4 linked regions of the Elephas maximus indicus genome follow. The protein of the gene in region 3 purifies or fractionates together with the protein of the main gene of each other region. This does not show direct contact. Links are inferred from orthologs where the notes say so. Each region holds a gene or a part of one and is shown on either strand. Other genes may lie near its edges.

What was found.
Region 1: the proteins of RAF1 (region 3) and EMD purify together in Homo sapiens (affinity purification with mass spectrometry; 3 studies listed by BioGRID and IntAct, with this or other methods). This does not show direct contact. The link is inferred for Elephas maximus indicus from reciprocal best matches to the Homo sapiens genes RAF1 and EMD.
Region 2: the proteins of RAF1 (region 3) and CALU purify together in Homo sapiens (affinity purification with mass spectrometry; 3 studies listed by BioGRID and IntAct, with this or other methods). This does not show direct contact. The link is inferred for Elephas maximus indicus from reciprocal best matches to the Homo sapiens genes RAF1 and CALU.
Region 4: the proteins of RAF1 (region 3) and AKAP8L purify together in Homo sapiens (affinity purification with mass spectrometry; 3 studies listed by BioGRID and IntAct, with this or other methods). This does not show direct contact. The link is inferred for Elephas maximus indicus from reciprocal best matches to the Homo sapiens genes RAF1 and AKAP8L.

The regions. Positions count from the first base shown.
Region 1 is NC_064846.1:2,095,834-2,103,038, forward strand, and holds EMD (emerin), read left to right. Parts: upstream 1-4,328; 5' UTR 4,329-4,565; coding exon 4,566-4,647; intron 4,648-4,757; coding exon 4,758-4,865; intron 4,866-5,009; coding exon 5,010-5,087; intron 5,088-5,294; coding exon 5,295-5,428; intron 5,429-5,878; coding exon 5,879-5,925; intron 5,926-6,029; coding exon 6,030-6,351; 3' UTR 6,352-6,691; downstream 6,692-7,205. UniProt on the Homo sapiens protein: Stabilizes and promotes the formation of a nuclear actin cortical network. Stimulates actin polymerization in vitro by binding and stabilizing the pointed end of growing filaments. Inhibits beta-catenin activity by preventing its accumulation in the nucleus.
Region 2 is NC_064826.1:21,326,227-21,333,881, forward strand, and holds the start of CALU (calumenin), read right to left. Parts: upstream 3,020-7,655; 5' UTR 2,911-3,019; intron 2,894-2,910; exon of another isoform or gene 2,009-2,893; intron 1-2,008. UniProt on the Homo sapiens protein: Involved in regulation of vitamin K-dependent carboxylation of multiple N-terminal glutamate residues. Seems to inhibit gamma-carboxylase GGCX. Binds 7 calcium ions with a low affinity.
Region 3 is NC_064838.1:37,863,429-37,870,891, forward strand, and holds the start of RAF1 (RAF proto-oncogene serine/threonine-protein kinase), read right to left. Parts: upstream 3,009-7,463; 5' UTR 2,601-3,008; intron 1-2,600. UniProt on the Homo sapiens protein: Serine/threonine-protein kinase that acts as a regulatory link between the membrane-associated Ras GTPases and the MAPK/ERK cascade, and this critical regulatory link functions as a switch determining cell fate decisions including proliferation, differentiation, apoptosis, survival and oncogenic transformation.
Region 4 is NC_064821.1:35,594,065-35,601,323, forward strand, and holds the start of AKAP8L (A-kinase anchor protein 8-like), read right to left. Parts: upstream 3,010-7,259; 5' UTR 2,904-3,009; coding exon 2,891-2,903; intron 1-2,890. UniProt on the Homo sapiens protein: Could play a role in constitutive transport element (CTE)-mediated gene expression by association with DHX9. Increases CTE-dependent nuclear unspliced mRNA export.

The sequences.
Region 1 (7,205 bases), on a different chromosome or scaffold from region 3:
AGAAAAGGAGAAAGGAAGGGAGGAAGGGAGAAAAGAAGGGAGGGAGGAAGGAAGGAAGGGAGAAATGGGGAAGGAAGGAGGAAGGTCGGAAAGAAAAAAGGGAGGAAGGGGGAAGGAGGGAAAGAAGTGAGGAAGGAAGGAGGGGAGGAAGGAAAGGGGAAAGATAGGAAGGAAGGGAGAAAATGGGGAAGGAGGAAAGGAAGGATAGAAGGAAAGAAGGAAGGGAGGATAGAAGGAAAAAAGGATGGCAGGAAGAGGGGAAGAAACGGACAACAGGGAGGGAGGGTGTAAGGAACGAAATAGTTCAGGCACCACCTGCTGAATTAAGTTGCTGATTTACAGTTTGGGAAGCACTGATAAAGAGGCACTGATGGCCCTACTGGTCTTGCTGTCTTGGCTAGCTCTGCTTTCAAAGACCTTTCACACCTTGACCCTTACTGGGTGCTTTCTAACAGTGCCAGGGGTTCCCTCTCCTCCTGCCCCCTCTGGTGGGAGCGCCCCCAGCTGGGGAGGGCAGTGGGTTATCTTCACATGATAGGTGAGGGACCTGGACTTGGAGATGGGAACTCACAGACCGAGGAGGGGGCTGTGCTGGGGCTCACAGCCAAGGCGGTCCGTGGTTCATCAAGGAGGGAAACCACATGCCTTTCTGCAGCTGCGCTCCAAGCCAGGGGTACAATAGGTGGAGGGAGCACTAAGGAGGCAGTGGTTTCTTAGCAGTGTTCGGGACTGCCACCTCCGTGTGAAATCAACTACTGCCCCTCTCCCCCACCACACACACAAAACACATGCAGCAGCTCTGTCTCTTCTTTCAGGTCTGGGCGGAATAAATGTTTGTACAGCACCAGGTGTCCTTCGGTTGAAGATACAGGGAAACTACCAAAGTCAGCTGCATTCCTCCCACCAGTCATCCCAACAGTACCAAGATAAACTGACCTGTTCCAAGGTTGGAACACAACACTTTCCTTGAGAGACCTTTAGTCAACTAACCAGTGTTTTAATATTGGTTGTGACAGTGTTCAACATATCAATTGTCTCGCAACTTTTGTAACCATTGGAGCAATGTTTCAAAACATTTGAAAACTAGTTAAAACCCAAAGGAGCTTTAATACCCTTGAAGAGAAAAGTGTCTTTTAGCACTAAAAAAAAATCCTTATCTTAAAGAGAAACTTAGTAGCTCAGTGATCAATGGTTTGCTTGTACATGGATGCTGAGAAATGTATTTATGGTGATATATTTTTCTCCATTTTAACTTCTGATCTTGCTGGGATTCCAAGTTGTACAATCCACTGTTTAGAAGCCATTCTCCATCCTTAAAGGAGAGACTCATTTTTCTTATTCTTGCCTTAGAATCGCGGCTTCCACAGCCCATTACCCCCGCTGCACTGGCTGCTTTTTGTGACCTCTGTCTGCAATCCCTTTTCCAATTGTCCACCAGAGAAATTTGTCTTTTTCAAGGCTCAGTTCCAGTGTCTCCTTTGCCTGTCCTTCCCAGGACCAGCTCCTGGGAACAGTTTTCCCTCCTTGAGAGCTCTGAGGCTGGGCCGTGGAGCACCAGATGCTGGCTGAAGAAATGTTTCATGAATGAACTATTGGACTCGAGGTTCCGGACCCCACTCTATGTGATGGAGGTGCAGAGGGCATCCTAGCTCGGATGGTCAAGGCCTGACCTAGTGTCTGGTGGTCTGGGATGGAGCTGCACGGCCATGGGTGACCATCCACAGTTCAGCTTCCTGGTGCCCTCTGTGGCGGGACCTCATAGTGAGGACAAAAGGGGGGGGGACATAGGAGGCAGAGTGCTGAGGCAGGTGCAAGGGGGTGGTGTTCCCTGGGGAGAAGGCAAACCTAGAATTCCTTGACCTCATAAGGAAACAGCTTGCATCAGTATGGGGAGGGGTGGCACGGGGGAAGACTGAGCAGGCTGTAAGGGAAGCCAGAACCAGCATCTCTGGGAGAGGGGCCAGCATTGCAGAAAGGCTGAGAGGGGCTGGGATCTGATCTTGCCAAAACTCAAGATTCCACGAGGCTGCCTTTGCCCAGCTCACAGCCCAAACGGCCACCTCCTCCCCTGCCCAGCCCATGGCTCTCCCCTCTGTATAGGGCAATGTAGTGTCTTCAGGGACTCCAATGCTACTTGTCACAGTTGAGACAGAGCAGGGCCCCACCTTGATTCTAAAACTTGGGCAACAGCAACTCTTCGGAAGGGTCTTTGTCTTTGGTCAAACCATGGTCTCTCCTCTGGCCACTCCCCACGTGTATACCTCTTCCCCACCCTGAGCAAACCTCCCTGGAGAGCTGGTCTGCGGCCCGCACCAGCTGACCAGAGCCCCCTCTCTTTTCTTCTCCCCCCCACATGAGACTTGGGGCTAGCTCCTCTCATCCACTCCAGGGAGAGCCCACCAGGCAGCCCCACACTCCATGAGACTGGCTTTGTCTGAGCATGACTACCACCTCTTTCCTGCTCTCCAAGAGACAGCACTTTTCCTACCAAAGCCTTGCCTCCTCCTAGCCATACTCCACCTTACATCCACTGCCTGCCCTGGTTTGCTCCGCTCAGCCCCCATGTTTGCCCTGGCCTCTGTCTCCTTTGGCCACTCCTGCAGTGCCTGCATGTGAAAGCTGGACAGTGAATAAGGAAGACTGAAGAAGAGTTGACGCCTTTGAATTGTGGTGTTGGCGAAGAATATCGAATATACCATGGACTGCCAAAAGAACGAACAAATCTGTCTTGGAAGAAGTGCAGCCTAAATGGTCCTCAGAGGCAAGGATGGTGAGACTGCGTCTTACATACTTTGGACATGTCAGGAGGGATGAGTCCCTGGAGAAAGACATCATGCTTGGCAATGTACAGGGTCAGCGGAAAAGAGGAAGACCCTCAACGAGGTGGATTGACACAGTGGCTGCAACAATGAGCTCAAGCATAACAACGATTTTAAGGATGGTGCAGGACCAGGCAGTGTTTTGTTCTGTTGTGAATAGGGTCGCTATGGGTCGGAACCGACTCGACGGCACCTAACAACAACAACAGCAGTGCCACAGTACCCAAAGCCGCTCACACCCCAGTGCTCACAGCCTGCCAAGTCTTCTTTGAGGCTCCCCTCCCCCAGCAGGCCCCTCTGGTTCTGGAAGGCTACCCCCATCCCTCCTGGGGGGCACTCAGCTCAGGGGTCATTCCACCAGGAGAGCAAACCTCCCCCTCCTCCCCGTCTGGTCCCCCAGGTGGGTGGTGTGGTGCGGTGGGCTGGCTCACTGTCCCCACTCGCATCACGCCTTGTCCTTTGCCAGCGCTCATTGGCACTCCTGGCCCCTTACAAGGCTGGCTGGGAATTCCTGGAGCGCCTGCCGCTGCCCTCCTGGTCCAGTGCCCCATTTCCTCCTCAGGCGGGCGGGAAGGCAGGGAGAGGGTGGTGGGCAGCGGGCAGCACAGGTGCAGAGGCCAGGGGCCGGCAGACTCGCCAGGCCAGCGGGGACAGGGGCCTGGGAGGTGGCTGGCCTGTGGGCTGGGCCGCCGACCAGCCGTGACTCCCTCGTGTTCTCCACGCAGAGGGCTTGAAGAGAGCCTGGCCCTTACTGAGCACCCAGGCCCTGAAACCGGGAAGGGGTGCAGGGATCCGGGCGGGGGATCCAGGCGTCTCGGCCCCACGTGACTCGGGGGGTGCACCTCTTCCCGGACGCCCCGGCCCCGCCCCGCCCCGCCCCCACATCTCGGCCGGTTTCTGCCGGTTCGGCTTGCCCGCAGGGCCCGCCCCTCTACATCTAGTCAGAGCAAGGCAGCGCGTAACGTGTTTGTTCACCAGCCCCGCCCCTCTCCGGGCGCTCAGCCGCCCCGCTATAGGCCCTGGGGGCTTTTCAGCTGGGTGGCTTGTGTACAGGCTCCGCCCTTCTGTCACGTCTAGACCGACACCGAATACGCCAGCATATAACGTCGTCGTTCGCCAGCGCCGCCCGGCTCGCACCGCCCGGAGGATTTCCGCCGGTTAGGCTCGCTCACTAGGCCCCGCCCCTCCCTATGCCGTAGCCCGAACACGCCGGCGTCCGACTTCCTTGCTCGCTAGCCCCGCCCCTTTCCGGGGCGCGCAGCCCTTCCCCGTTCCCACTTCCAGACGTGTCTGAGCTGCTTCGGCAGACTCTCAGGTCCCGCCCCTCTGCCACCTCTAGCCCTATCCCGCTCCTTTTTGGCGTTATTGTTCACCAGCCCCGCCCCGCTCCGCAACCAAGTCCCGCCCGGTTCTGCCGCTTTGACTGGCGTGCGGGCCCCGCCCCCTCCTGCCTCTGGCCCAATCGCGCGCGTTTGTGACGTCTTGGTTCACCAGCCCAGCCCCGCGCCGCCTAGCTCCACGTCCAGACCGGTCTGCGCCGGCTGCGCTCTGGCGGCCTGTTCTCCCGCCGCGCGCGCATTCTCGGCGCCGGCGGTGCCCGCGGCCGTGACGTGATCGCGCGGCCGCTGCTCAGGCGCCCTCGCAGCCTCCTCCCCCGCCGCGCCCCGAGGCAGCCTTTGCTCAGCGTCGCCGGGCCGGCCTGCCCTCAGGCCTTCGCCGCTGCTCGGGCTCCGTGCCGGCAGCGCCATGGACGACTACGCGGTTCTGTCGGACGCGGAGCTGGTCGCCATGCTACGCCAGTACAACATCCCGCACGGACCCGTCGTGGGTACGCGGAGCAGCGGCGCGGGCGGGCGGCCGGGCGGGCGGCCGGGCGGGCGGCCACCTTCCGCGGCCCCGCGGCCCTGATCCGCCGCCACGCGCTCTGTGTTTGGCCAGGCTCCACTCGCAAGCTCTATGAGAAGAAGATCTTCGAGTACGAGACCCAGAGGCGGAGACTTTCGCCCCCGAACTCGTCCGCCTCCTCGTTCTCCTATGGGTTCTCGGGTGAGGGCCCCTCCGGTCCACCACCGGAGACCAGGGCGGACGGGGTCGCGAGGGTGTGGCAGGGGCACCAAGCGGGAGGCACCTGGCAGAAGGGAGAGGAAGTCCAAGGGCAAACGGTCCCGTTTCCCTCTCTCGATCGCACAGATTTGGATTCAACATCTGAGGACTCGGATAAGTACGATCTGCCCAAGAAAGAGGATGCCTTACTATACCAGAGCAAGGGTAAGACAGGTAGAGGAGGGGCGGGCCGCCACCTAACTTCTCTGTCATAGAGCCTGGTTTCGGGGAGAACCTGAGACTTCGACCCCCACCGCCCCTCACCAGCCCTAGAGGGGAGGAGATACGGTTGTCATAGACACGAAATGGGAGCAGGTTAGGGGGAGACAGATGCAATGCCAGCTCTGCCACCACTGCACCCCTCTCCCCAAGGCTCTAATGATGACTACTATGAGGAGAGCTACTTGCACACCAGGACTTATGGGGAGCCTGAGTCAGTGGGCACATCCAAGAACTTTCGGGAGCCCATGGCTTCGCTCTCAGATGCTGAAAGTTTTCGCCGTCAGGTGAGCTGGCCATTAGGTACCCCAGGCACCTTTGATGCAGGTAGAAACTGAGGTGACCAGATCTGGGTTTCGATCAACCAGTTGGGACTCCTGGGTGGAAGTGGTGGCTCCTTGCAGGTTCCCAGGGGCTCACAGGCCTCCGGGGAGAAGTAGGCTACACAGTGCCCTACTTTGGGCAAGGGGATCCCGAAACTGGAGCACACTTTAGCCCATGGTGCACCCTGGCCTGGGATCTAGGTTGGAACTCTGAGAGTCCTGGGGGAGGAAGGAGGGTACTAGGGCTTAGACAGCCAGGACAGTCACTGAGCAAGTGGCAAGGCCCCTTGGACAAAAGGCCAGGAGTCTAGGAAGGGTCTGGAGGGACAGAGTGGGCTGGCTGGGGGAATTTGGACTTGGGTGACGGGGTCCTGCCAGCCTTGCCAGCCAGTCTCCTCCCCCTCTCTTCTTTAGATGCGTGAAGACAATCTTTTCACTTCCGAAGAGGAGGGCAAGGATAGGTAAGTCGTTGAGCGTGGCCTATACTGACAGATGGCCAGGGATAAGGGCTGGTTCTGGTCACCAGCTCTCCTGGCCTACCTGCCTGCTCCCTCTTTTGCCTCAGGGAATGTCCCTCGTATGCCAGGGACAGTGCCTACCAGAGCATCGCGTACTACCGCCCCATCTCGAGCATCTCCAGGGGTACCCTGGGCCAACCCTATTATCCTACCACCTCCTCCACCTCCTCCACCTCCTCATCTTCATATTCTCCACCTTCGTGGCTCGCCCGCCGTGCCATCCGGCCAGAAAAGCAGGTCCCGGGAGCCAGTCTGAGTCAGGACCGCCAGGTCCCTCTCTGGGGCCAGTTGCTCCTGTTCGTGGTCTTTGCTGCCTTCCTAGTCTTCGTTTACTATTCGATGCAGGCAGAGGATGGCAACCCCTTCTAGGTGGATCCCTGAGGGCCTGGCCTCTGAGCCAGCCCTTCTCAGAAGTTCTGGCTCCACTGCCATAGTGTTCTGCTGGGGGCGGGGGGTGGGGCTAACCTGTGTGTTCCAGCTGGGCTGGGCCTGGCCCAGATCAGTGCTTTGACCCCTGCCTCATCCTGCCAGGGAGGCAGCAGGCCTTCCCCCAGAGCCTGCTTCTCTCTGCCTTTAGGGCTCTGGGCAGGCACAACCCTGCTCCTTCAGAGAATACTGTCGTTGTCACCATGCATGCCTCCTGTTCAGCATAACCTTCAGGGTGAGGGATTAGCGGAAGGCAGCCTGACTTGGTTTTTTGTGAACACACAATAAAAAGACTTTATTTTTAACGTGTTGGCTCTTTCTCTTTTGGGAGCGGGTCTGGCAGGGCCTCCAGGATCTTGGTGTGAAGGGTCGCTATCAGATGTTGGGTTCTGACTTGGTCTTGGGGCTGGGCTCGAATGCCGCCCAGGAGTACCGTACGTGTGTGTTTCGTCCCCCGGCTCATTCCCTCACGCCTCTATACTTATCCAGCCCTCCCGCACAAGATGTGTGGAGCACCCTCCTGGAAGTGCAAAGCTGGATGCACAAGGCTAGCTGTGGGCGGTTTATCTGGGCAAAGCAGACGCCAGCTTAAATGCCAAGGGCAGGACACGGGTGTCTCGCTGGGAGACTATCTCCCAGTTACTGGGAATGACTTGAGGAAAGGCTTGCATACTCTGAGGTGCCTCTTCCTCCCTAGGCAACAGGCCGTCACTTCTCTAGATTCTTACACTAATCCCAGGTTTTCCCCCATGGGTGTGAGTTTCACAGTTTTCAAAGTTTACCAATATTTTAACAGA
Region 2 (7,655 bases), on a different chromosome or scaffold from region 3:
CGATGAGTTGGAACTCACTTGACGGCAATGGGTTTGGTTTTTTGGTTTTGTATCTATACATCCTAATTAAACTATTTTGTGACAAGACAGCTGAATACATAAAAGTGCAACATTTAAAGCAGAAAAAAGGCTTTGGGTGACTGATATTATTACTCAGGCTTCATTAGCAACCCAGTACAAACTTTACATTTTTCAGGCTACGAAGTGAAAAACCTTTCTGATAGGAAAAATGTTCTAGAAATTCAGGGACCAAAATCCTTTCGGATGATGAAATATAATACATAATTAATTACTATGGGAAGACTGCAAAATGAAGGGACAAGAGCTTTGGTTTCTAGTCGTAATTTTGCTGTGTGTGTGCAACATGCATGATGTCCTTGAAAATTTGGTGTCATTTTAGCTCAACCTCTCTTCAGTGCCAAATGTCTAAAAATAATTTTAAGCTCCTCGGTGAAAAGACCTATCTACTACGATCACTCCAGCTGGAAGTAATCTCTAACTATCCCTCTAAACTTTTAAAAAACTTGTTTGTACCACTCCATAACAATGACCCCAACCAAACCCACTGCCATTTAGTTGATTCCGATTCATAGCAACCCGATAGGACAGAGTAGAACTGCCCCATAGAGTTTCCCAGGCTGTGATCTTTATGGAAGCGCACTGCCACATTTTTCTTCCAAGGAATGGCTGGTGGGTTCACTCTGCCGACCTATTGGTTAGCACCCCAGCACTTTAATCACTGCACCACGAGGGCTTCTTATAATGATTATAGGCTGCTTTAAGTAGTCTCCTTTGCTCCCTTATAGTTCTACATTTTTGGAAAGCAGAGATCTCAGCTAAGGTAAATTAATATCCCTCTGCAGCCCTGGTGGTGAAGTGGTTAAGAGCAAGGCTGCTAACCAAAAGGTCAGCAGTTCGAATCCACCAACTACTCCTTGGAAACCCTATGGGGCAGTTCTACTTGTCCTATGGGGTCACTAAGAGCTGGAATCAACTCGACAGCAACAGGTTTTTAACAGGACAGTCCCTAATACAGTGTCTTACACTTTTTAGAGACCAATATATTTTACTGGATTGACTGAACAGTACTTGGCAGCAATGTGGTTCCTGCCTGCCTCTGCTCCCCACCCCCAATTCCTCTCACCGGATCTGGCTACCAGCCAGCAATAGGCAAAAGTGTTATTTCAGCTGTTTAGACTCTAAAACAAAAACTACAGCATCAACAACAACCATATTTAAGAGTTCACACAGAGAGGATCTAGGAAGCATCTTCAATTCTGTCCAACACCCCTGGCACACCCACGTTACAGGAAATCTGTGTTAATGCCAACGTACTGATCTCCTAAAGTAGTGCAATGTATATAGAGTGCCATCAGTAGTTCTCTTGAAACACCCTTGGATGAACGGAGGCAAACGATGATTACCCTCAGAGTGATAAGGAGTTGGTTTCAAAGCTATTTAGTACCATCCATTCAGGCATTCGCAATACCTCTTCGTGACCTCATGCTTCTCCCCATCTCAGAGCCCCAGCTGTGATTCTCAGAAGAACCCTATTAGAGATCCCTGAATCCGTAAAACCTGAGATTGTTGTCACGTGCCTTCAAATCAATTTCGACTCATATCGACCCCACATGACAGAGCAGAACTGCCCCTACAGGGTTCTAGGCTGTAATTTTTATGAGAGCAGATAGCCAGGTCCTTCTCCAGAAGAGCCGCTGGGTGGATTCAAACCTTTCAGTTCGCAGCCTAGCGATTAATTCGATAGGCCTGGGCAAACTCATCCTCTCCAGACACCAATACAATTCAAGGGTTGTCTGTGGACCCGCACTTGGTCTATATAGCATAAATTCTTCAGCAATGGTTATCGTCCAGTAGTTGATTAACAAAATCAGGTCAAACATGCATTTGTTTTGTGTCAAGTATGGCAAAGAATAATTTACCAGAGATTTCAAGGTCCTCCAGCTACAAGCTGAATGAACTATTAGAACAAAAACAAATTAGGACCGACCTTTACTGTTTCTCGTTGATTTTGGGGTCCATGTTAGGAAATGAAGGCAATTCAATTCACAAAGACACTATTCTCCGACTTTAGACACACAGCATTCAGACCAAAGGCTCAAAGTTTTAGCAGGAGATCCAGGGTGCTTTCGCCTTGATGCAAATCACTTTAACCATGCCCGCTGTAGAGAATTAAGTTTACTTCTGAACACAACCTGCCAAAAGTCAGAGCTAGGGTCTGGGGTTAAAAGCCACAAAAACAAAGTAAAAGGTTTTTTACCCAAATACAGTTTTAAAACAATTTTCTATTGCATGTTTTCTCTGCAGCCAAAACGTGAAAACTCAAAACGTTCGGCTTTTCTTTGAAATGATAGAGAAATTTCTTGGCATATCACATAGCGTCTTCATTCGTTCTTTTTTCTCTCGTTTCTACACCCTTAAAGTCGGCAATCACGACTTTCTTGGCAGATGCACCCTCCTCTGGAGATGTGGGCTTGGGGAGGGGCTGGCGGACGCAAGCAGGCCCCTGAGCGGGAGGTGCAGGGAGCTGTGTAGACTCACAGCACCCGAATGCCCTCCGACCTTCCCGAGGCAGACAAGAGTGACGCTCTAGTCCGAGGGACTCGGGGAGTGGCGGGGCCCAGGGGCGGAGGTCGAGGCCAGCCAGGCATAAAACGGCCCTGCCGGACGCAAAGCCGGGAGCCGACGCTGGACAGGACCCGGCCCTCTGCCCAGAGCGCGCGGGAAGGCGAGGGCGGCCTCCAAACTGGGCTGCTCGCCCAGGGCCCGGCGCCCCTACGCTACCAGAAACACAAGCCCCGAAACGGGGACGCCCCGGCCCGCCAGGAGCGAGGCCCGGAGACACAAGGAAAGCTAAAACGGCCGCGGAGGCGGCGCAGGGGCTGAGCTCACCGTTCTCACCGCTCCCCGGCTCCCGCCGCCCCGCTGCAGTGGCCGCAGTTCACCCGCCGGCTCGGCTCACGCGCGCAAGCACAGCCCGACCGGAAGTGACTCCACGCCCCGCCCCCATCCGCCTCGCCGGCGGCCTCCCGGCTAATCAACAACAGACTCGCCGCTGACGCAGAGCTTCTCCGGGCAGCCATTGGTCGCACAATCGCGTAGCCGGGATTGGCTGGGAAGCGCCACGTCCCCGGGAGCGCGCCGGGCTGCGTGGACGGGATTCCCGCCCAACTCTGGTCCCGGGGCCTGTAGGGTGGCAGGGCCTATCCGCTGCTCCGGTGGCGTGTGGGCGCGGTCGTCCAGCCGCCACGTCCCCACTGACAGCGCCTGACTGGGCCTCCACGGGGCTTCTCGGATTACCGTCTCGTTATCTGCCTGCTCGAAGCACTCAAGGCGCTAGTCGTCCGATCGCATCAGCCCCCAACCGTCTCGAAGATCCCAGTTTCTCTTTTTCCAGCACTACTGGTTCTAGTCTCTTTCCGCTTTATCCCTACCGCTCTCCCTCTCATATCTCGCGCTCTGGCCACCATCATCTCGCGTTCCGTAACAGCCTGCTCGGTCATGTGTCGCTGGTCTTTATCCATCAAGCCGCTTCCTTCGCTTAAATAAGTGCGTTTTCCCGGTTCTCTGCCTTAAGAAATCCAGCAGCATACAACGTGTTCGGATGGTAGCTTCAGAAAGCTTTCCTGATCCACTTTAAAACAAAACAAACAAAACCGTGCCCATGGAGCTGATTTTGACTCATAGAACCCGGTCGGACAGAGTAGAACTGCCTCACAGGGTTTCCAAGGCCCTTTGTAGCGGCTGATGGGTTAGAACCCCCGACCTTTTAGCTAGTAGCTGATGCTTTAACTACAGGTATCCTTTCTTGACACCCAAGGGATAATAGAGTGGGTTTGGTTTTGGGGGGTTTTATTTGCCGCCATACCACTTTGTATTTCTATCTTCAGTTAAAAAACAAAAAAAAACCCATTGCTATCCAGTGGATCCTGACTCATAGCGACCCTACAGGACAGAGTAGAACTGGGGGGGTTCCAGAGAGAAGCTGGACGAACTGCGTGCCACCAGGGCTCCTATTTTCAGTGCACCTTGCCAAATTTTGTTATAAACACTGCTTATACATTCGTCTCCCTCTAGACTAAGTTCCGGAATGGAGATCTACTTTATTCGTCTTTGTATCCATGGCTCTGAGCTTACTGCCCAGTTCAAGGTAAATGCTCAATAATGTCAAGTGAACTGAGTGGGTGGAACCCAGAAGGTTGCATGCCCCTAATTAAAGAGAAACACTGGAAATTATTCACTTATTCGTTCATTTTCATTTCATGAAATGAAAACAAATAGTTATAATGAGGTAATATTCACAACACAAATGAAATATAAATCTGTGTTCTTAGCACATAAAGCACAGAGTTTAAATTTCAGTTGAGGAGACAAGTTGTATGCTTATGAAAGAATTAAATACAAAGCAAGTTAGTTCACGTAAAAAAAAAAAAGTTTACTTTTGAGTGCCAAGATGAGAGGTTGACAACTAATGCTACAGGAATTCATACAAAGGAGTGACTGTAAACCTCAGTGGTAGCCAGACAGGGCTTGGGGCTTCATAAGAAGATGTGACTCAGGCTGGACTAAGAAAATCCCAAATGGAATGTGCAGAAAGAGGAATAATAGGAACAAGGGCAAGCAGGGGGCAGGTGGTAAGTAAATTCTCAGGTGGGATAGGGCATGAGGGAGGTGAGAGAAAGGGTCTGGGAAGGGAAAGCACAGGAGGTAGGTCTCCATAGGGAATGGACAATCACTCTAAGGAGCCTGAACTGAAGGCAGGGGGAATCCTGGATCTTCCTCTGAAGGTTTCTAAGCTCGTGTCTATGTGGGAGGTGGGATGAGATTGAAAGTGGTTCTTTCAGGCAGGCACATCTCCTAATAGGGATTAACTGTAGGAACAGGCTGTTTCAGGAAGTATTATTTCAACAAATGTCTTCTTGAAGTCAGGCGCTGTGCTAGGTGTTGTTGAACTCACAATGAAGAGGACGTGGTCTCTGCCCTCAAGGAACTGCAGCCTAGTGGGAGGGCCACTCATCCTGGAAGGATCCTGATAGAGGCTGGATGAGGAAATAGGATTTTGTCAGAGATGGGGCCCTCCAACCCTGAGATTCTGTGTGGATAAGGGCCTGACTCCGGCAGGGCAAGGGACGTGCAAATAAACAGTTGTATGCAAGATGATTTTTAAAAGTGAAAATAAGTCCTGGACTTAGTGACTGCTTGGATGAAGAAATGAAGAGAGAGCACTCGAAAACTAAAAGTTTTAATCCTGGGATACTGGGAGAATGAGCCGGATGATTGGAAGATGAGGGAAATGATGAGTTAAGACTAGGGTGATGGCAGAGCATCTACAGAGAAAGAGCCAATAGGCTGGAGGGTATTCTGGAACTTAGGAGGGGGGTCATTGGTCAGGGGGCAGCTGATGGAACCCTGAGATCAGATGAGCATTCTGAGAAGAGAAAATCAGATTAGGCTTCATAGGAGCCCCAGAGTTAGAAGGCAGGCGGAGGGGGAACAGGACTTGAGGGGTGACACACATAAGAAATACCACCATTGGGCTGCACCCAAGGCTTACCTGGCCCTGGCTTCTGTCTCTGAGGGAAGCACGAAGGGACTGTTGGTGGCAGGTATGACGGTGGCAGTCTCAAAAGGCTGATGTTCTTCTTCAAGTGTCCCAACTCTGCTCATATGGTGCTACTGAACATTCACGCCACAAATGAGTGCGTTGCGCATTTCCTATGTGCCAGAAATTTCTAGGCACTGAGGATACAGCAGTGAACAAAATGGATAAAACTGTCTCGTGGTGCTTGTATTCTGGTTGTAGGGATAGCAGAGACAGCCAATAAAGAAGATAAAACATTAAAATATATTGCTGAGTGGAATAAACCAGTCTGAAAAAGGTACGTATTGTATGATTTCAACTGTATGACATTTTGGAAAAGGCAAAACTGTAGCGTGAAAAGATCAATGGTTTCCAAACAATAGTCTAATTTAACTAATGAAAAATGTCTATCGTGAGCATTATCCTCTTTCAAGATCTATCTGTATGGAATCAAAGTGACAACAGCAACTTGAAAGATCAGATAGGAATCTTAGGGAGCAGTGAGTTTACGTTAATGAGGGAGGAACAACTCAGAAAGGGAGGGTGAAAGGTTGTACAGCTCGAAGATTGTCACTGAATTTTATATGTAGAAACAGTTGAATTGGTGTATGTTTTGCTTACTATGTTCTTAACAAAAAAAAAAAAAAACAATGTTTTCCAGGGGCTTGTGGTGGGGAGGGATGAACAGGTGGAGCATAGGGGATTTTTAGGGCAGTGAGACAATTCTCATAGTCTCATTCGATTCCGACTCATAGCGACCCTATGAGTCAGAGTCGACTCGACGGCACTGGGTTTGGGAGACAATTCTGCATGTTACTGTGACAGCGAGTATTACGCCTTTGTGAAAACTCATAGAACCACACAACACAAAATAAACCCTAATGTAAGCTACAAACTTTAGTTAATGATAATGTATCCCTATCTATTCATCAGTTGTAACAAATGTACCGCAGGAATGCAGGATGTTAAGAGGAGAAGCTCTGCAGGAGGAGGGGATATTTGGGAACACTTATCCTTTCTGTATAATTTTTCTCTAAATCTAAAACTGCTCTAAACATAAAGTCTATTATAAAAAAGCAAAATATATAGAATGAGAAGTGGTTATAGGTGCAAAGGGGTGAAATAAGGCAAGGAAAGAGAGCAGGGAGTGTCGGGAATTCAACAGCGGTGTTGACATTTTGAGAAAGAGTGGCCGGGGAAGGCTCATGAAGAAGGCGACACGTGCATGAACATCTGAAGATGGTGAATAACATTTCAGGAAAAGGGAACAGGAAGGGCAAAGGCCTGAGCTGGGCGCCTGCTTGGGGTGCTTGAGGAACAGCAGGAAGCCAGGTGGCTGGAGTGCAGTAACGGAGAAGAGTAGAGGACATGAGGTCAGGGAGGTAGTATCAGGGGAAGATACTGGTATCAGTGGAGTGCCTTTAGGCCATTTTAAGAATTTTGGATTTTACTATGAGTGAGATGGTATGAGGGAGACTTACCTTTTTCTTCTTCCTCCGGGACACACAGCTAGACTACATTTCCCAGCCTCCCTTGCAGTTAGGTGTGGCCATGTGACTGAGCTCTGGCCAAAGGAAGGAGGGCAGAACAAATACTGCTTCCAGCCTTGGCCATATGAGATGCCACACACAATTTTCCAAGCTCTTTCCTTTTTTGTGGCAACCTGGAAGCCATGTATTTTAGTTATCTAGTGCTGCTATAACAGAAATATTGCAAGTGGATGGTTTTAACAAACAGAAGTTTATTCTCTCACAGTTTAGGAGGTTAGAAGTCCAAATTCAGGGCGCCAGCTCTAGGGGAAGGCTCTCTCTCTGTCAGTTCTGGGGGAAGGTCCTTGTTATCAATCTTTCCCTGGTCTAGGAGCAGTGGTTAACACCTTGGCTGCAAACCAAAAAGTTGGCAGTTCAAATCCACTAGCCCCTCGTTGGAAACCCTATGGGGCAGTTCTATTCTGTCCTTTAGGGTCGCTGTGAGTGGGAATCAACTCAGTGGCAATGGGTTTGGTTTTTTGTTTTATTTTAAGCAAGGTATGGGGGGAGCCCTGGTAGCACAGTGG
Region 3 (7,463 bases):
AGGTAAATGCTGTAACGAAACTCTGCAACAGTAATAACAACCAAAAATTTGCGAGTGGTTACATAGGTAGGAAACCCTGGTGGCAGAATGGTTAAGTGCTACGGCTGCTAACCGAATTGGTGAGCAGTTTGAATCCACTAGGCGCTCCTCGGAAACTCTAGGAGACAGTTCTACTCTGTCCTATGGGTCGCTATGAGTTGGAATCGAATCAATGGCACTGGGTTTTTTTTTTTTTTTTGGTTGCATAGGTAGACATGTATGCTATATAGGTACAGGTGGCCGTATACGAGTATATGCAAGTGCATATATAGGTATAGTTGTGGGCATTTGTATATACATATTTGTATGTTCTGCATATATACTCATATATATATAATAGAGCATACATATATGGGACACAGTTATGGAAACTTCTTAGACATACCCAAACACCTCATGGGACTGAGTTACTGGGTTTGGAGGCTAAGGACCACAGTCTCAGGGGACATCTAGATCAATTGGCATAACATAGTCCATAAAAATAATGTTCTAAATCCTAGTTTGGTAAGTAGCATCTGGGGTCTTAAAGGATTTTGAGCGGCTGTCTAAGGACACAACTACTGGTCTCTTCCTGTGTGGAGCAAAGGAGGGTGAAGGAAACCAAAGACTCAAGGAAGCAATGAGTCCACAGGACTAATGGCCCACACAAACCAGTCTCCTCTAGCCTAAAACTAGAAGAATTAGATGGTGCCGGTTACCACTACCAAACACTCTGACCAGGGACACAATAGGAGAACCCGGTTAGAGTTGGAGAAAATGTAGAACAAAATCCAAATTCATAAAAAAAAAAAAAAAGACTTACTAGACTGACAGGGACTGGAGGAACCCCCTGACTATCGCCCTAAGACACCCTTTTAACCTGGAAATGAAGCCACTCCCAGAGGTCACTTTTCAGCCCAATAATAAATTGGCCTATAAAATAAACAGCAACACCTGTGAGGAACGTGTTCCTTAGAACAATCAACTATATGAGCAACATCTGCCCAAAAAACAAAGCTGAGAAGGCAAGGAGGGGCAGGGAAAGTGGACAGAGGCAAACAGGGAAGGCAGAGTGGAAATGGAGAAAGTGCTGATACGTTGCAGGGGTAGCAACCAATGCGACGGAACAATTTGTGAACTGTTGAATGGAACACTAATTTGCTATGTAAACTTTCACCTAAAACACAATAAAACGTTCAAAAAAAAAGAGGAGAAAAATGATTAGGTATCAGTAAGAATAAAAAATTAGCAACACCTATTTTTTATTCAGAAGAATCCAAATTAAACCAACTAATTCACCACTGTGTTCAAACAAAGAAAGACCCTTAACAATCTAGCAACTTTTCTTCTGGACTCTCTTCTCTCACTATTTCCCTGCACCCCAAACTATTTGCTTGCTCCCCAAACTCATCCCAATTCCTGCATGCCTCCTTTCCTATCAGGAGTTCTCTCCGCTAGGAATGCCCTTCCCCTCCTCCTCACCTAGTGAGCACTTACTCATCAGTCCTTCAAAACTCGGCGCAAAAGTCCCCTCTGGCGTACACTCCTCCTTAGGTCCCCTAGGTAAAACTAGGTGTTCTAAGTTCCCACAGCACTCGGCAAGCCAATCCTTATCATATGGCGTTGTTCTCACGTCTTGGGAGCGCACGGAGGGCCGTTTCTCCCCACTCACCCTGCACAGGGCTAGGCAGGCAGAAAAGCTCCGCGAACGTGTGAATTCATTCCCTACCTAGATTAAGTGACCTCCTCGAACCCGGTCACATCTCAAGGAGACAATATGAGACCCCATCATTCTTCCCACTAGAGAATGAATACCATGGGCACACCCAGACCCTGGAAAATGAACAACGAACGAACACAAGCGCCTCGCCTCTCGGGATCCTAACTCCTCTCTCGGGGCACCGACTAGCTAGCTCTGCAGAGCCTGTGCAGTTGCAAGGCTGAAGCGTCCCGGCAGCGGCTCTTATTTCACACAAAAGACAGCCCTGGATCTTCATTCCGAAGCATCCCGGGGCCCATGCTCAGCCTAAGCATCCTAAACCTTTCATTAGGAACCCACAGAGTCCTGAAACCCAAGGCGAGGCCCCTATGCCTTTGTGATGGGGCACTGACCCATATCCTTTCTTCTCAATTCCTTTCATCCTCCCTAAAAGAGTGACATTGGGGTGAAGGACCCCGAGAGAAGGTGCAGGCCCGGGTACCCACCCCGCGACCAGAAAAGAAAAAGGAATTAGCTCATCCGGGTGACAACACCGATACGGGGCAGCTCTGGGCGGATTCTCCCACTGCCAAAATATGAGGAATGTGCACTGGGCACAGGGGTGGCGCTGGCACGTTTCCCCGAAACACAAGGAAATCTGAGTGGGGATATGGGAACTTGGGTCGCCGGCCATGACACCCGGCCCCGGGCACCCCTGCCGCCCAGCGCCACCCGGGGTGACAGCGGCCTGGCCCAGGCCCTCCGCCCGGGCAGCCGCGGGGCCGCTCCGTCAGCGCCGCCCAGGCCCAACCGCCAGGGAACCCGGTCCCTCGGCCCCGCCGCCCCGCTCCCCCGGCTTCCAGTACCCGGCGCCGCCGCCTACCTGAAGGAGCCAGGCCGACCCCGCGTTCCGTCGTCCGGCGGCGGCGTCCAGTCCGCTCCTCCTCCCCGCGGAGAGTGAGGGAGCGGGAGGCGGTCACATTCGACGCGTCCCCAACCCCGGGGACGGGGCCCCGGGCAGTCCCCGCATCGTCCCACTCGCGCTCTGCGCCTTAGGATACACACCCCAAAGCCTCGCCAACTGGCCCGCTGCGGGGCCCAGGGAAAACCGCAGGGAAGCCTTCCCGCCTCACGCTCGCTCTCGTCTTACTCCCGCCATCTAAGATGGCGGCCCCAGCGCCCGCAATGAAGACACTCTCGGGCGGCCCCGGCGAGCGAACCCTGCGCTCGGTGCTCCTCCTCCCGGCCTGCTGCGCCACCGGCTCTGCTTCTGCGCGAGCCCGCCTGGCAGCCGACTACGAGCTTGGTTCGGGCATCTGTCGTTCTGGTCTGAACTCGGGCCCGCCTCCTAGGGGAGGGCCGTAGCCTCGCGCTCCTGGCGGTCGCCATTTCGGAGCTGAGGAGGCTGCGAAGAGGGCTTGGGGGGGTTATCGGCTAGGCGGCGGCGGCCAGGCGGGGCCGGGTCTGAGGGCCGGGTCTGAGGGCCGGGGGAGCTCCTGGCAGCCTGGCGTGACCAGACGTCCCCCAGGATGCACAGCACGGAGGACAGTGACCAGCTTTGGCGCGTCCTCTCCGTAGTCGAACACCTCCGACGCCGAGTTACGACTTTGCCACTCACGGGTTGTGTGGGAAAGCCACTCTTTCTGAGACCCTCTTCATCTATAAATTGGGGGTTCATCCCCCGCCTCCCATCAGATTGACAAAAAATTTAAAGACTGGTAATAGCCAGTTTGGTCCAAGATATATAAAAACCTGCCGTGTACCCTAACAGCGCTGGCACGAATACATACCGGACGGCAATTTGACGTTACCAACTTGTTTTTTTTTTTTTTTTTTAACCCTGGGGGCGCAGTGGTTAAGAGCTCGGCTGCTGACCAAAGGTTGGCAGTTCGAATCCACCAGCCGCTCCTTGGAAACCTTATTGGGCCGTTCTACTTTGTTCTATAGGGTAGCTATGAGTCGGAATGGACTGGACGTGGCAGCGGATTTGGTTGGGCGTTTATTCACATTTTTAAATGTATATACCTTTCCAGCAATTCCACTTCCGTACAAATATGTACTCATAATGCACAAAAAGAAATGTGCAAGGACGTTTATTGCTAACCAAAAAGTCAGCAGTTCGAATCCACCAGCGGCTCCTTGGAAACCCTTTGGGGCAGTTCTCTGTCCTGTGAGGTCCCTATCTCCTAGGCAACGGTTTTGGCTTTTTGGTTTTGGGTTAGAAAAACATTGGGAAAATGTGGTTTAATTAAATAGAACACTGGTTAAATAAACAGCGCCACATCCACAGTATGGAATGTCACCCATCTGTTAAAAACTATGAGCTAAGTCTATGTATTTACAAGGAGCCTTGGTGGCGCTGGGCAGTTCCAACCCACTAGCAGTTTGGCTGGAGAAGTCCTGAAGATCTGCCCCTGTGAAGATGATAGGGTCGCTATGAGTTGGAACGGACTCCACCGGCACCTAATAAAAACAATGATTACACCCTTGAAAACCCTATGGGGCAGCTCTACTCTGTAGTGAGTCAGAATCAACTTGACTGCAAAGTTTTTTGTTGTTTTGGGGGGGGCGGGCGTTAAGGCTGTACCTATTAAAAAAAAATCCTCCAAGGCAGTTTTTCAAAAATTGGAGTATGTACAGTATTTATGCAACACGAGCCACAAAGCTACTTAGTACCATTAGCTACATTCATTATTTAAATTGTGTAGCACACACTGTTCTGGGTATTGGGAAATCAACAATAATCAAAATACCTGTCGCCTAGTGATGGGACACACACAAAGTGTAAATAAATTCAGGTTCTAATACGTGCTCTGTAAAGAAAAATGCAGCGAGATGAGATGATAACAGGAGTATATGGACCTACATAAAAATAAATGCAGGGAAAAGTCTGAAGGCATAACATATGCAGGAGAGTGAAGAGGAATTTTTTTTTTTTTTAATGGGAATATAACCATAATACCCACCTCGTAGGATTAAATGAGATAAAACACTAGAGCACTTAGCACAGAGCCTGGGGGTTGAGACTTCATGTGGACCCAGACTGCTTAGGTTCAAATTTGGACTCTGCCACTTCCTAATGTGACTTGGGCAAGTCACTTTAACCTCTCAGTTCCTCAGTTTCCTCGTCTGTAAAGAAAAGGTGATAGTACCCACCTCTTAGAGTTGTCAGGATTGAGTGAGTTTAAGATGTAAAACACTTGGAACAGTGCCTGGCAGGCAGTAAGCATTCTAGAAGTGTTAGCTGTAATTGTTACAGCTATCTCTTATCATATCATCCTCATCATCCGTATTATTACTTGAGACAGAGCAGCCAGGCTACACTTGCTAACCCCAGGCCATTTCTTCCTTCAGTGGCCTCCCCGCGCGCCCCCCCCCCCCCGCCAGCTGGTATGTGCCCAGCGCTTTACAGTTTAGAAAGCTTGAAGATCCTGTGCCGCATTCAGACCTCATAGCTGGCCTATGTTTTTTAGGTGAGGGAATGGAGACACAAAAATTCAATCGCTTAAGCCAGGTCACCTAACACACAGACACAGATAGCTTCGTCTTACTCCTAGCCCAGCCCGGGTTTGAAGCCCTTATCACCACCATGATTTGAAGGTTTGTCCAGAGATAAAATCGTATCGGACTTCAGTGGGCTCTCAGGGACCTCCCAACCCCTGTCATGGAGAAGAGTGACTCCAGCTCCCCCACCACCTACCTCCTCACTCTCTACCTCCCTCCTCTTTGCCCCCTGCCCACCTGGTGTTGATTCCTCTCAGCCCTGGCAGTTCAGCAAGCTACAGAGTGTACCTTTACCCCAGCTGTCTGCAGGTTGCCACTTACTCTCTTCTCCTCTTGAGTAATCCCAGTGTTCTGGTAACAGGGATTGCTAACTCAAGTTACCACAGGGACCAGGCAGTGATGTAAATGACAGAAGTTGGCCTGGTGTGGGGGGCTCCAAAGAGAAATGGGAGGAAGGAAGGAGTCAGTAATGGTTTGAAAGAAGAATGGATGCCCCAAGATCTCAGATAAACAGAGGAGGGAAGGAATGTGAGGGGTCACAGCTGGCAGGAGAGTGATGGGGGAAGGGGAACATGTGAACTTCCCTGGATGTTGGAATGTTCTACTTCTTGTCCTGGTGAAAATTGGTCATGTTATACACTTAAGATATTTCTATTTTTCTCTATATTTGTTACACCTCAATAAAAAAAAAAAAAAAAAGATTGTGAAAGATGGAGAGTAAGGTCTTTAAGCCTGGCAGAAAGGGTACACTTGTCACTGAAGGAGAGAAAATTTTAACAGGTGACAGCTACCATTTGTGGGGTATCTTCATATATCAGGCATTTTACACAATTCCTGGTACACACCACAGCCCTAAAAGGCCTGATTTTCAGAGGAGGAAACCTTCAGGAGGACACATAGCTGGTAAGTGGTAGAGCTGGGATTTGGACCTCATTGTTTATTCCTCATTCAGTCCGTAAAGAATTCTGTTGTGCCTGATATATGCCAGGCCCTGTGTTAGCCCTGGGCTTGTGAACAAGCTGAAGTCCCTGACCTTCTTGGTAAGTTCTCACCAAGAAGACAAGTAGCAAACAAGTAAACCAATAAGTCAGCATTATAATCAGGATTGCAGAGAATCGATGAAGGGAATAACTTGAGAGTAATAGAATGGGAAGGGGTCAAGGAAGGCCTCTCTGATGCGTGATAGTTAAGCTGAGAACTGGAAGATGAGAAAGAGCTAAAGGAAGAGCCTTCCAGGTGGTTGGAACAGCTCCTGCAAAGGTCACGAAGTGGGAATGTGCAGGCCATCATGGTCAGAACACAGGCAGCAGGGAAGAGGTGAGGGAGGCAGGGGACCAGGAGAGGAGGAAGTCCAATCCAGCCTGACTCCCACGCCTGGCATTTCCATGCCACCCTGCCTCTCGGGTCAGTTTAATTTTAGTCACAGATGAGTTTGAGGTGTGGGCCTAGCCTGGGCTGGTGCTGGGCAAGATGGAGCCATGTAAACAAACAGTAGTTACCCTGCCAGGTGATACCGATGTGCCTTAGTAGAGGGCTGTCAGGGGTTCTGTGGGAGGGAGGGACTGGCTCCGCCAGGGAGGGACACGGAAGCCTCCACAGAGGCAACATTTAAGCTGAGTCTTAAGGAGCACATCAGAATTTTCCAGACTGAGAAGGGAGAACAGGAGGTGGGAACAGTATGGGCAAAAGCTCAGAGGTGTGATGTAGCATCATATGTTTGAGAAACAGGCCAGCAGTTCTGTCAGGTTAGGCGTTGCCTCCCTGGGAGAGACAGCAGGGAGAGAATGGTGAAGTGGAGCTGTCTGGCCCAGGGCCAATCCCCCCCAAGCCATAAAAGGGCAGCAATGTAATGGTGGGAGCGGAGACCTGCTGAGAGGCAACCAAAATATGTGGGCTCATATGCAGGAAAGCCAAGTGCAGTTATCTTGGAAACCAGTTAAAAATTAAGACCTGGATTCTCTCATGAATTACTTATAAGCATATAAATTGAAAATCAGTTTGGTAATATCAAAATTCCAGCAATTCTTTTTCTGGGAATTTATCCTACAGATACATTGTGTAATTGTGATGACGTATGTAGAATTTTTGTTTTTTGTTTTCTGTTGCACTGCTTACAATCTAAACATGTGAACATCCTGCAACTCTAAGACCCTCTCTATATACTGATAAGGAAAGATGTCCAAGAAACAGTGTTGAATGAACAAAGAAAAAAAGAATTAAGAAGTAAAACAGAGTGAAAAGA
Region 4 (7,259 bases), on a different chromosome or scaffold from region 3:
AGGACTGGATCCATTTCTAAGCTTTGGGAATTGAATTCATGCTGGCCCTTACTAAGCAGTTAGCAGTGAAGGTGGGATGTACCCACTGTGCCCCTTGCTTAGTGCACCAAACATAAACAAAGTAACTGAGTTCAAAAAGCAAGAGTTAACACAAAGATAAATTTGAATCATCGTCTATGCTTAATAATGGTAACATTTGCCTCAGGGCCGCCAAAAGTTATCCTTAAAGGCAAATATTGTCTGGAACATGACTTTAAAATGCCTTTGACTTTTGTAGTCTGCTTCTTAAAAGGGAAAGACATTATAAAGCTACCATGGCTTTTAGTTTGCCAAAATCAAGGAAAAACTAATCATTTTTTCCTTAGTACTCTGTCCTATGGGGTCACTACGAGTCGGAATGGACTCAACGGCAATGGGTTTTTGGTTTTAGTACCCAAGTGCCCACCCAAAGCTAGAATTACAGCCTATGAGATGTGGAGATGAAATTCAGGCTTGGTCATTAGTGGCAATAAGACCTCAGTCAGAAATTGCTGGCCCTCTATAGCCAAGATCCCTCTCCTATAAAAATAAGTAGCTACTCCACAGCACCTAACCACTCATCTTGGGTTTCTTCAGCAATCCTGCCCGTAAAAACCACAGAACTGGCTTCCGTTCTCAGGAAAACTTGGTCAAGAGAATTATAAGCGACAAGAAATGCTCGACTCTACTGGCATTGCCATGGGAAGCTGTCCTATGTAGTGCTGGACATTTAGTAGCATTCCTGGCTATCCCCGGGTGGTACAAACAGTTAAGTGCTCAGCTACTAACTGAAAGATTGGCGGTTCAAATCTACCCAGAAGAAAAACCTGGCGACCTACTTCTGTAGCATCAGCCATTGAAAACATTATGGAATACAGATCTACTCTGACACACAAGGGGTCACCCTGGGTCAGAGTAAACTTGATAGCAACTAGTTTTTTTTTTTTTTTTTCTTCTTCTGGCCCCTACCCACTAGATGCCAGTAGAGTATCCACCCCCAGTGGTGACACTCAAAAATGTATCCAGACATTGCAAAATGTCCCCAGGGGCAGTAGCACCCCTGGTTGAGAACTACTGGACTAGGGGACGGTTGCTAGAAAAATTAGGGATCTTGCCAAACTCCTGATCTGGGAGCCACAGCGGAAGGACTGGCACTGCCTTTTTGCCCAACCAGTTGCTATGGAGTCAACCCCTGTTCATAGCGACCCCATGTGTGTCAGAGTATAACTGTCTCCACAGAGCTCTCAACGGCTGGTGTTTTGGAAGCAGACCACCAGGACTTTCTTCTGAGGAACCTCTAGGTGGACTCAAACCATCAGCCTTTCTGCCTAGGTCAGCATGAAGCAGCCTGCAGTGGCGCTCTGGAGGCCCGGGCCCCTTCTCAGCTCTGCTCTTGCTGAGTAGAATGCAGGTTACCCAGCAACCACGCACACTCAAGCTTTTGACACCCCCATCTACGGCTCCTGGGTAAGAAGCTGCATCTGTCGCTGCCAAGGCACACTCAAGAGGCCTCTGGGCATCACCTAGAGTTTTGCAATCACTCAAGCATATCCTGTGGCCCCCTGCAGAGAGTCTCACCCACCCCCTTCTTTGTTCCAATGCCACTGGTTCCTTGGCTGAGCATCAAACACGCCGAGCACACTTCTGCCCGTGCTTCTCCACCAACAGCTCCCTGGGCCAGACAGTCTCATGCCCCCTCTCCACATATCACCTCTCCACAAATGTCTCTAGCCTTCCCATGGACTGTCCTCCCCCAGATGAATAGTTTCGCCTACTGAGATCTGCCCCTCGCCTATCAGCTGCTGGGTAGATTTTTGTCCACATTCTCAGTGCCTATGTGACACCAATAGATTTCCAAGTGATGGAAATGAGTAAACAATCGACTATTAGCCAAAAGGCTGGCTGCTCAAGTCCACCCAGAGGCACATCAGAAGAAAGTCCTGGCGATCTGTTTCTGAAAAATTAGCCATTAAAAACCCCATGAAGCAGTTCTACTCTGTACACGTGAATGAGGTCACCACGTGTCAGGGTACACTCAACAACTGTTTTTTGTTCTTTGGAACAACCTGAGTGGCCCAAACGGTTAAGCCCTTCTCTAACTAACCAAAAATGTTGGTGGTTCAAACCTACCCAGAGGCGCCTTGAAAGAAAGGCCTGGTAATCTGCTTCTGAAAGGTCACACATCCACTGAAAAGCCTATGGAGCAATTCTATTGAAACACATGGGGTCGCCATAAGTCGGCATCTACTCGAAAGCAACGAGTATTAAGCACAAACACAGCAAATTTAACAGATGCTGAATATATCGTTGTGGCAGCCAACCCTTCCTCCCCCACAAGGCTTTGGCCCGGCCCGAGGGCTCCGTCCCAGCTCAAACCTTTCAGGTATTCATTTTTTCCTCCAGGGCCTGGCACCTCTCCCAGCCCCTAAACACGCAATGGGGGGTGGGGGGGCGGTGCGCTGAGGCATTTTGCGGGGATACAACGCGGAGGAGAGCCCGACAATGGCGACAGCGGACGGGACTGCTCACTGGTTTTAAGGCCCGAGGCCTGAGAAGCGGCGACCTAAGGCGCCGAGGCGGCTGGGGCTGGTGGGAGAGGAACCTCAGGAGCCGAGGACCGGGGGCCCCCGGACATGACTGCAGGAGCCGTGGCCTCAGGCGGCCAGTGCCCGGGACGCGAGGCTGGGAGCACAGAGAACCAAGGGGCCGAGGCGTACCGGGCGCGACCTGAGGCGACGGACTCGCGGCGCCATTTTGTGGCCGCAGAACGGACAGTGACCTGGCCGGGGAAGCACGGGAGAACCCGGCGTGGCCCCGCCACATTCCCCTGCCGCTCCCATCTGGGGCCCGGCGCCGCCCCGCAGGGATGTACCTGTGTAGCTCATGGCGCCGGCGAACACTACGCCCGGCTCCTCGACAGCTGCTCCGCGAGCCCGACGCCGCGATAGTGGCCACAGTCCCCCGAGCCCCTTTTACCCACAGCCGAGCCCCGCCTCCGGACCGCATTGGTGTGCGCCTGCTTCGGACTTCACATCTATTGGAGAATCGCCCTGTCTATCTCGGAGTGTCGTCCTGCCAGGGGCTGAAGATGAGGCCAATCCAGAGAGCCCCGCCCTACTCCCGCCCCTCCGTCGTTCTACCCCTGCGGTGATTGGTCTAGATGGGGTGGCAGGGGTAGAGGTAGGTTCCTGTGGGGCTCGACGGGGGCGAAGCTGTTGGCTACGGAAAGGCCGAAGGCCCAAGCTTGGCCGAGCAGGACGCGCGATTGTGCCCTAGAGGCCCGCCAGAGGGAGCCGGGGTTCCCGTGCAGGAACAGCTCAGGTCCCTTGCTCTGCCACCCATTAAAAAAAAAAAAAAAACCGTTGCCAGTGAGTCAATTATGACTCATAGCGACCGTATATGATGTGCAAACCTGGGTATCTGAACTTCAGCTCAGGAATGAACATGGTGAAGCCGTGCAGGAATGGGAAAAATTACGACTAAGCGCCAGCCACGGCGCTGGATCCACGATCAAACGTTAAATGTGATCATGTATAAAGAAATCAGTTCACGTTGTACAACATGATTAATGTAATTGATGTCACTAAATCGTACACTTGAAAAACGGCAATAAAATCAGTACAAGGCCTGGTGCATCAAATGTTGCATTTTGTAATTAATCTTTACTTATTTGTATAGTTACACAGTATATATAGAGTCCCTGGGGGGCACAAACAGCGCTTAAGCTCCACTACTGATCTAAAGGGGCCCTGGTGGGGCAATGGTTAAGAACCCGGCTGCTAACCAAAAAGTGGGTAGTTCGAATTCAGACCCACCAGCTGCTCCTAGGAAGCCATATGGGGCAGTTCTACTCTGTCCTATAGGGTCGCTCTGAGTTGGAATCGACTCCAAGGCAATGAGCTTGGTTTGTTTTGGTTTACTAGCCGAAAGATTGATTGTTCAAACTCACCCAGAGGCACCTCAGAAGACAGGACTGGCGATCTGCTTCTGAAAGGTCACGGCCTTGGAAATTCTATGGAGTAGTTCTACTCCGCACACGTGGGGTCGCCATACACACATGGGGTCACCACGAGTCGGAATCGGCTCAAGGGCAACTACAACCACTATAACATAGTACACATGCATATTATATGTAATAAACATTAATTGTATTGTTCATCATCTCATCTACTCCCTCCAAACCCTCCAGGAGCTATTTTTATTCCCCATTTAAAAGATAAGAAAACTGGATCTTAGAATTCATGCCTTGCTCAAGGCCCTTGATACTTGACTGTTAAAGGTGGAACTTTGCCTCTAAAGCCCTCATGGTTCACTCTGGACTTTAGTGATTCTGCAATAGTGCAGCCAGGTGCCTGCCTTGTCCTCAACACTCTCTCTGAAAGTGTTGAAACCACTGCCAGGGACATCTAATAATTTCTAAGAGTCAATTTGACAGACAAGAAGGCAAACACGTAGTGTGTGTGTGTGTGTTTGTGAAAATGCATCCAGCTGTAGAGTTAGGACCTGTATGCTTTTTGCTGTGCTTCACTTAAAACGTTTTTTTTTTTTTTTTTTTAAAGTGTCCTGTTGCCGACCTACTTTTTGAAGTTAAGGATTGTCATCAATTTTTTAGGTGTAATAAAAAATCAGTTACTGTCATCTCTGACTCACGGCAGCCCCATGTGTGTCAGAGTATAAATGTGCTCCACAGTGTTTCCAATGGCTGACTTTTCAGAAGGCTTTTCTTCTGAGGAACCCGCTGGGTGGCCTTGAACATTCAACCTTTCTGTTAGCAGCTGAGTTTGCTCGCTGTCTGCACCACCCAGGGACTTTTAACTGTAATAATGGCATTGTTTTGGAATCCATATACCTTAAAGAAACATACTGAAACACTCACATTAGCAAATTAATTGATCTGGTGGTCAGGATGTGCTCCACCATAATTCAGGGGGGAAAGGAGGGGACAGAGAAGGGGAACAGGGTTGGGGAGGGAGGGGATATAGCTGAAGAGATTGGTCATGAGTTGAAAATCGATGAGTAGATGCAGATTTATTTTACTGTTCTCGCTACTTTTGTATGACTGGAATTCTCCATGATAAAATCTTTTTAAAAAAGCAACTCCCCATACACCAATGTTCATCGCAGCACTTTTCACAACAGCCAAAAGGTGGAAACAACCCAAATGTCCATCGACAGTTAAATGGATTAACACAATGCGGTGTACACACACAATGGAATATTACTCAGCCATACAGAAGTCCTGATGCACGCCACAACATAGATGATGAGCCTTGAAAACATCATGCTAAATCAGTTGCAAAAGGAAAAATACTGTGTGATCTCACTTACATAAAAAATATATAGAAACCGAAGATTATTATTGGTTACCAGGGGAAGGGACAAAGGGAGAATTTTTGCTTAGGGGACATTGGGTTTATGTTCATGGTGGTGGAGTGATTTGGAAAAGCATAGCAAGAACACTGGCACAACTTGCAGAATGCAATCAGTATAACACGTAGAAATGGTCGAGATGGCATGTTTTGTAATATTTTGACAAAAAAAAAAAATCCTCCCCTCAAATTGGGGCTTAGGCAGACAGGACTTGCGGCCATGTGGGGCAAGGTTTTGATGCGTTAAGTGAGAAACCACAGAAGCAGCACACAACACTCTGACTGACGTGTACTCCAGCTTTGGGGTTCCCCTCCGTGTCACCCCTAAGGGATGCTTACCTGGTCTCCAAAACTAAGGCTTAGAGCACCTCTCCTGGGTCCTAGAGCGTCACTCACAGCACTGGCTGCCCCGGCCCTCATTTCACCCCATCTGTTATTGATTTAACACCCACGGCCCTCATAGACCATTGAGAGAGAGAATAGTATTGCTTAAGCAGAGAAGGGATGTGTTCAGAAATGTTTTAGGAAAAGATCCCTCTATGGCAAGGACTGTATTCAGCTCTTTCGAATAAAAAAATCCAGTAGAGTCAGGCAGGACACAAACAGGTAACACTGCAGTCAGCCATCTCCAGGGGATTGGTGGATCAATGGTAGACTCCTCACCTTCCACGCAGGAGACCCGGGTTGGATTCCTGACCAATGCACCTCATACGCAGCCACCAAGCATCCATCAGTGGAGGCTTGCGTGTTGCTATGATACTGAACAGATTTCAGCAGAGCTTCCTAAGACAGACTAGGAATAAAGGCCTGGCAATCAACTTTAGGAAATCAGCCATTGAAAACCCTGTGGATCACCATGATCCAAACTGCAACCCATCATGGAAGTGCTGCAGGACCAGGCAGTGCTTCATTTCTTTGTGCATGGGGTTCCCAGGAGTCATGGGTGACTTGAAGGTAGCCAACAACAGACATCTCCAATAGCTGACTGTAGGAGGGATTGTTGTTGGTTGATGTGGAGTCAATTCTGACTCACGGTGAGTCCAAATGTTACAGAGAACTGCTCCATAGGGTTTTCTTGGCTGTAATCTTAGTGGTAACAGATCTCCAGGCATTTCTTCCGTGGCACTGATTGGTGGGTTTGAACCAACCTTTAGGTTTCGAGTTCAGCACAAACCATCGGCAACATCCAGGGACTTAGCGACAGTGGTGAGGTTAAAAACAGCATGTGATCAACAAGGAGCAGCTAACGAGGTCTCTTGAAATCTCAGAAATGTTCAACAAACATCTGCAGCACAAGCATGTAAATAACATCGCAAGGGAGTCAGTGCTCCCCTTTCTTTCCCTCATGTCACCAGGGCTCAGGATGCATGTATCTTCAGAGAAGTCACCTGTCTCCAGGTCAGGTCCTTCCTGCTGGCCCCCCATGGAATGCTTCTGGCTGCTTCCTGCTCCTCCCTCCCTCCATAGGCCCCCACTCCCTTGCTGGACAGCTCCTGCCCTTAGAAAGCCCTCCCAGCCTCAGTTGCTTCCCAGCCCTGGCTCCCTGCACAGACCAGCCTCCTGGAGCCCTGGGTAGCATCTCCTCTGCTCACATGAGTCACCCCCCAGCCAGCCAGAGACTCCCACTACCCAGGGTGTTGAGGGCTGCCAGCTGGGCAACTCGGCTCGTCCCCAACTGGGCCTGGTTGGCTTGGTGGTCAGTAGGAAGCCCAGGCCAATCCCAGCCCTGGCTGGCAGCCAAAGCCAGCCTGTCCACCCAAGAGAAACACGCACGCTGGCTGCCTGCCCCGGTGTGTTTCCAGAAGAGAAATTTAATCTAATTTACAGACTTCTAGGTACATCGATAACCAAAAGGTTGCCACTGGAAAAAGT